2 linked regions of the Schizosaccharomyces pombe genome follow. The protein of the gene in region 2 interacts with the protein of the main gene of each other region in a biochemical or structural test. Each region holds a gene or a part of one and is shown on either strand. Other genes may lie near its edges.

Evidence for each region. The genes of interacting proteins can lie anywhere in the genome.
Region 1: the proteins of ste4 (region 2) and byr2 form a complex in vitro, tested with the Schizosaccharomyces pombe proteins (3 studies listed by BioGRID).

The regions. Positions count from the first base shown.
Region 1 is NC_003423.3:1,740,745-1,744,505, reverse strand, and holds the start of byr2 (MAP kinase kinase kinase Byr2), read left to right. Parts: upstream 1-2,161; 5' UTR 2,162-2,209; coding exon 2,210-3,761. Other genes in the region: RNA-binding protein Mlo3, read left to right, coding at 1-393. UniProt on the Schizosaccharomyces pombe protein: Serine/threonine protein kinase involved in conjugation and sporulation. It is thought that it phosphorylates the byr1 protein kinase which itself phosphorylate the spk1 kinase.
Region 2 is NC_003424.3:1,294,682-1,298,392, reverse strand, and holds ste4 (MAPK cascade adaptor protein Ste4), read left to right. Parts: upstream 1-1,849; 5' UTR 1,850-1,882; coding exon 1,883-1,979; intron 1,980-2,137; coding exon 2,138-2,835; 3' UTR 2,836-3,077; downstream 3,078-3,711. Other genes in the region: protein Utp8, read right to left, coding at 1-1,003; SPOM_SPAC1565.03 (uncharacterized protein), read right to left, coding at 3,410-3,711. UniProt on the Schizosaccharomyces pombe protein: Essential for mating and meiosis.

The DNA.
Region 1 (3,761 bases), on a different chromosome or scaffold from region 2:
CAAGTTAAGGAGCTTTTTGTGAAATCCATAGGACCTTGCAAACGCGTTTCCTTGGCTTACGGTCCCAACGGTCGTTCGAAAGGTATTGCAACTATCATTTTTTCTCGTCCTGGTGATGCCACTCGAGCTTATGAACAGTATGAGGGTCGTTTGGTTGATGGCACTAGAAAAATGAAGGTTGAGATAATCCTTGATCCTAGTCGTCAATTGAATTCTTTGGCTGCACGTGTAAGTCCTGCCAGCAACGCTAGCGCCACTGCTAGCAAGAATGGCGCCAAATCTTCCAAGCGGAAGACTACACGCCGCCGTAGAACTCCTAATCGTCCTAAAAAATCCGCCGAAGAGCTCGACAAGGAGATGGATGATTATTTTGGATCAAATGAGAAGGAGTAACTTTAATAATTTGAAGATTCTACTATATATACATATATTTTGAAGATGTCAAATGCTTCTTGGTATTAATAACGACCTATACAACATACTCCCTCAGTTAAATAATATTGGCAATATAATGCTGTTTCGAATGGCAGTTCTTGAAGTTGTTTTTGTGTTTTGGGTCTTTCGTAATGGATTTGGAGAAGTGAGCTGAACCAGTTCTTGTTAGTATATATGGTGTGTATTGGGTCATATTGCCATTATGCCATTATTTCAAAGAATTTCATTAAATTTTTTATTTATATCTCTTTTTTGATAGACATATATGTTTCATTGACATCGAACGAATTTGGTTACTTATTTCTTTTTCGGTGGTTAACGTTGGGTTGGAGGTTTTGACTTTTGCTAACTTTTGACATATCTGTTGATTTGTAGTATGCAAGCTTAAACGCTACCAAGAAGCTAAGCTTTGAGTCGAGTTCATTATTAGCATATCTGTTCACCTGTTATGTTTGCAACTTTATCAGCTCTTGTGCAGAAATCCTTTATGGTTGATAAGCGCTCCCTTCTTGTTTAATACAAAAGCAAAACCTATGTAGACAGTGGTTAAAAGAGGTGGATAATGGTAGCTTCGGCTACTGTTACTTTATTTAATCTAAGTTACTGTACAAGGCAGCTGTTTTGATCATCATGTTGCTAAACTATACTGGGTTGAGCTTACCGACAGGGTTTATTATTGCATGTTTGCTGAAAGTCAAAGCTTCCATACCCCAACTTGACTGTGTTTATTATGTTCATGATGGTTTTTGGTTCACGTCACACTTATTCCAAGTCTTGTTTTACTATATGTGGCACGGCTTGTTTGGATGAGGAATTTCTATTCGTAAAATCATCGCGTTCGATGGCTCTATTTCATCTTTGTCAAATTGTACATGACAGAACTGGCTTCATTCCTTCCTTTGTATGTAAACCACATTTATAGAACTTTTCCACGATTGCATTTTAAACTCGCTGATTGATGAATTACGCGCAATGCATTCTTTTGAAACTTTTAAACCCTAGTCACTTCCATTCCCGTTTTTTTTGCTTCCGACGTTTATTATTATTTGTAAATTATTGTTATGGTTGAATTGCCGACCGTATCTCGAAATTTGTTTTGGTAAACATTGCTTGGTTTTATGTTCGAACCATTGTCACATCAAACAATTTAAATTGAAGTCCCACACATATATTTTTGGCACTTATAATTTTGATTTTTTTGAAAGATCTGTACGATCCGTCGTGATTGTGTTACAAACCAAAAATCGCTTTCAGAATGCGCATTTGCGGGTTGCTAATTTTAGTGCGCGATTCTTGCCGTCCTCTGAAACCGATTGAAACATTGAAATTGTTAAAACAGTACTTTACGTTCGTACCTTAAACCAGTAGTATCTGAACGGTGGTTAACGACATTTGTATTGCAGATAAAGAGAAAGATTATTATTCACTTGCTACACATGGTTTATACGAAAGTTTTAGATTTTAATATCTGATTACAATTTCTCGTCGATATTTAGACTCCTTGTGGAACTCGTATATGTACGTAAGTGTTATTTAATAGATATCTGAATCTGTGCCGGGTGAGAATTGCAATACCTATATAAACAAGCAGCCTTTACGAATTTTTTGGCAGCTTCATTTTGGTAATGAGATTTAGTGAAACTAATATCGGTTATAAAGTGTATAGTTATATTGTTACGTCAAAGAGCACGAGACTAAGGGAGGCAGGTTAAACGTAAATGCTACCAACTTTGAACTTAGAAGTTATACGTTGTACAACCACTTTCCTGCATTTATGGAATATTATACCTCGAAGGAGGTAGCAGAATGGTTGAAAAGTATCGGATTGGAGAAGTATATCGAACAATTTTCACAAAATAACATTGAAGGACGACACCTAAATCATTTAACCTTGCCTTTACTGAAAGACCTAGGCATTGAAAACACCGCCAAAGGCAAACAATTTTTAAAACAAAGAGACTATTTACGAGAGTTTCCACGTCCATGTATACTGAGGTTTATTGCCTGTAACGGGCAAACTCGAGCAGTTCAATCACGAGGAGATTACCAGAAAACACTCGCTATTGCTTTGAAAAAGTTTAGCCTTGAAGATGCTTCAAAATTCATTGTATGCGTTTCACAGAGTAGTCGAATTAAGCTGATTACTGAAGAAGAATTTAAACAAATTTGTTTTAATTCATCTTCACCGGAACGCGACAGGTTAATTATTGTGCCAAAAGAAAAGCCTTGTCCATCGTTTGAAGACCTCCGCCGTTCTTGGGAGATTGAATTGGCTCAACCGGCAGCATTATCATCACAGTCCTCCCTTTCTCCTAAACTTTCCTCTGTTCTTCCCACGAGCACTCAGAAACGAAGTGTCCGCTCAAATAATGCGAAACCATTTGAATCCTACCAGCGACCTCCTAGCGAGCTTATTAATTCTAGAATTTCCGATTTTTTCCCCGATCATCAACCAAAGCTACTGGAAAAAACAATATCAAACTCTCTTCGTAGAAACCTTAGCATACGTACGTCTCAAGGGCACAATCTTGGTAATTTTGGTCAAGAAATTTTGCCAAGAAGCTCTCGGCGGGCTCGCCCTTCCGAATTGGTTTGTCCTCTTTCCTCTCTGAGGATTTCTGTTGCTGAAGATGTTAACCGACTTCCTAGGATTGATAGGGGATTTGATCCTCCACTTACTGTATCTTCTACTCAGCGTATTTCTAGACCACCATCGCTTCAAAAATCCATAACCATGGTTGGTGTGGAACCTTTATACCAGTCCAACGGAAATGAAAAATCGTCGAAGTATAATGTTTTTTCAGAAAGCGCGCATGGCAACCATCAAGTACTTTCCTTTTCACCTGGTTCATCCCCATCATTTATTGAGCAACCATCCCCAATTTCTCCAACTTCCACTACAAGTGAGGACACAAATACACTTGAAGAGGACACTGATGATCAGTCTATCAAATGGATACGTGGTGCGTTAATAGGTTCAGGATCGTTTGGACAAGTTTATCTCGGTATGAATGCATCTAGTGGTGAGTTGATGGCTGTTAAGCAAGTGATCTTAGATTCTGTTTCTGAATCAAAAGACCGCCATGCCAAACTTTTAGATGCATTAGCGGGTGAAATTGCTCTTCTACAGGAGTTGTCTCATGAGCATATTGTCCAATATCTCGGTTCTAACTTAAATTCGGACCACTTGAACATTTTTTTGGAATATGTTCCTGGGGGGTCGGTTGCCGGATTGCTTACAATGTATGGAAGCTTTGAGGAAACGCTAGTCAAGAACTTTATTAAGCAAACCCTTAAAGGCTTAGAATACCTTCATTCACGCGGCA
Region 2 (3,711 bases):
TATCATGTTGAATTAACAAAAAATTATCCGAAATAAGCTCTATGTGTTCAATTTTCGATATGCTTTGGAAATGAAGAATTTTAATAAGCATATAAGATTTGGACTCATCATGAAGTGAGTATATGGATAGCCCTTCGAGGGAAATCGTATATATACTTGTAGAGTCTTTAGACATCAGAATGTGCGAAGGAGCCTGAACTTCCTTTAGAACCACAGCTCTCGTATTCACGAGACGTCTTTCAGAAACTGAAAAAGAATCTACATAATATTGTATAATTTTGTCGACATGTACACTATACAATAAATATACCATGGATGTGGATGAGGTGACATTAGCGCTAAAACTGGTAGACCCTGACTTTGGTACTGAAGAAGTTGTGTCGCTGTTCATCTCGATTTCCTTTGGATTATTATTAGTGCCACTTGCTTCGTTAGATGCTAATCGTACAGCATCAATAGGATTTGCTTGTGAAGGAACATACATTGATTGAAGCAATGTGGCTGATTCGTTAACGGAGGCACTCATGTGAACTTTGTCATCTTCGGGATCGAGAAACGCAATTTTTCCGTTTCGAAATACAATCACTAGTTGACCAGTTGACGAGATGAAATGAAGAGCAAATATTTGTTGGTTGGAAATATCACGATATACAACTTCGCTTTCCTCCTCGAGGTCGTTGAACTTCCAAAGAAGTATTTTCCATTCCCCATTACTTTTAAGAGAGGTGCAGGTCCAAATATAATGCCAATTTCCTTCTTTAATGTAGATGGGTGAGCAGGAAAACCGTGTCTTCTCAGGTAGAGGACATGAAGCGAATAAGCGTTCATCCTTCATATGATAAACTTCAATTCCCTGATTTTCCACTTGAACACATATATAATAAGGAGATTCAACTCCGTTATCCAAAGCAACCGTGCCAGCACTCTGAATTTCATGCTTTTTATTCGATTTATGAATATTCGAAATTTCGCTGAGAAACGATAGTTCACCAAAAGAAGCCATTTTTACTTTAAGTTTAAACACAATTTTCTGAAACTGTGAAAATTGGCAAAATAAGCGTTTCTGAGGTTCAAAAGTTTCACACAGCACTCGGTGGAGATGAAGAGAAGAAGTTACAAAAAAAAATAATTCCTACACAGCTTTGACCTCCACAAATACTAACGAAAATAGGAATTATTGATCAGTAAAATTAAATTAAAGTATTAGAAGCAATGGTTGTTCGACGCTTGTTTTCCACTGGAAAATTTGCGTTCTTACATTCGAGTGCGGTATATCTCGTTATGATACATAAAAACTTTTTGCTCTCAAGTGCTATAACAAAACAACTTTTATTATTTAGTTTTGTCAAATAAGAAAAACAGAATTTTTTTTGTAAACTACTCTTTGTACAACAATGCTACAAAAAATTCTCTTCTCGATTGGGTTTTTTTGCTTTGAGCTTTATTCATACTTGGACAACGTACCGATGTTTGATATCAATTGTGCCTTTATTCTGTGAACTTGAAACTCTAAATTTATTGTTTACCAATTTTTCTAATATAATAGGGATAATAAAACTTTTCTTTAATAAGTGAAAAAAACTGGGCAAGTCAAATTAGCATCGGCATACATGCTCTTGTTTACGTCCCATAATTTACAGATTTTATAGCTAATCCAAATTCAAAGTCCCAAATCACATCCAAAATCACTTTTCCAATAAGATTTAAGGGTCTTATTTTTTATCATTTTTTATGCTGATTTTTGATATTGTATTTAAATTTGCATATCCACTAACTTTTGGTAAATGAGTATGCTTTCTTTGTTATAAAAGTAGTGGGCAGGTCAGCATCAGAAGCATATATATTAACTACGCCCTTTACATTGCTATCCTAAGCAAAATTAATGGGAGATTCTGACGATTTTTATTGGAATTGGAACAATGAAGCAGTTTGCAATTGGATAGAACAGCTTGGTTTTCCCCATAAAGAAGCGTTTGAAGGTATGTATGCATAACAGAAGTTTAATTCAAAGAATTATTTGCTCGCCTCTCATTAATCCTTATTGAATGCTCTTTCTTTTATAGTCAATGGGGGATTGGGAACAATGAGTTTCTCCAAAGTTGGTTCAATTTCATGGCAATTTACTAAGAATTTCTAGACTACCATATTCTTGGAAAAGACATAGACCTGTTAAGTTCAAATGATCTTCGAGACATGGGAATTGAGAGTGTGGGCCATCGTATTGACATTTTATCAGCAATACAGTCAATGAAAAAGCAGCAGAAGGATAAACTGCAGCAAGAAAATAAGGATCAAGAACTGAAAAATATAGAAGAGTCTTACAAGAAGCTAGAGGAAAAAACCGAACATTTATCAGATGACAATGTCTCTTTAGAAAAACGTGTGGAATACTTGGAAACGGAAAACACTAAATTGGTAAAAACACTAAACTCTTTGAACTCGGAATTTCTTCAGTTACTAAGAAAAATTGCCATAAATGTTAAGGAAGGAAGACAGCTTACTACCGAAAATTCATCTGACACTAGTTCGATGACTCACCCTGTTCAGCCTTCACCATCTGTTCTTGGAAGTTTTGATTTAGAGGTTAATGATTCTTTGACAAACGCGGAGAAAAACAGAAAATTAAATGTGAACTTAACCTACAATGAAGTGTTATGCTCCATGTTGCAACGATACCGAATCGATCCAAACACTTGGATGAGCTATGATTTGCTTATAAACTACGATGATAAGGAGCATGCCATACCTATGGATGTAAAGCCACTTCAACTATTTCGAAACCTACAAAAGAGGGGAAAGTCGCCTTCTTTTGTTTTATCTCGACGCTCTTGTTAACTAAGCTTTTTAAAAGCCATCTATTTATGAATTGAATTTAATGAATAGTTTTCAATTTTTTTAATGACTCATTTGCAGATATTTAAGTTATTTTACTTACGCCTTGGTATGTTTATCAGTATTTAAAGATGGATTGATTTTTTTAGCCGTACCTCCTAATATTCTATCTAATATTCTATCTAATATGCTTAAAATATATATTTTTTTTTTTATTCATGGGGTATGCCCTAAGGTTTATTAATATGATATAAATGAATCTATGGAATGTATTAAGACAATGAAAATGAACCATGTAATATAATAACAGAAAAAATTAAACATTAAATTTTAACATGCTTCAACAGGAAATGAAATGACAAAGAAGGTTAACAGCCTAAAAAAAAAATTGAAGCGTGATTAGAAATTTTTAGAAAAAAATTGTGGTTTTTTAATGAATTTGAAACCAATGATATATGCAATATGTGAAGTTCGTAAATAAGGCGCAAAATTATGCCCCGAAACGTAGTTTACTCCGTCAATAAAATATTCATCATGTTGTACTACGCTTATTTTTGTAAGCTATGTATTAACAATTTCAGACAATGCAACATGCGTTGGGTTGCTTGGAGTACACGGTGGTATACCGAAATTTGGAAGGAGACAAGTAACTCATGTTAGACAAGCTTTGTAGAAAAACACGCATTTTTGGCTGAAACCAAATTAGTTCCTTTTCGCTTGATTCGGAAGATGAATAAAAATTTGGCTGGGGTTTTGATCCCGTATGCCTATTAACAAATTTAATTTCATCATTTGTTGGTGGAGTCAGTACTTTTGATAATTTTCTACGCTTAGAGAAATGTTCATTTTTTTTTTTCTTTGAGAAAAAACGAAAATCAA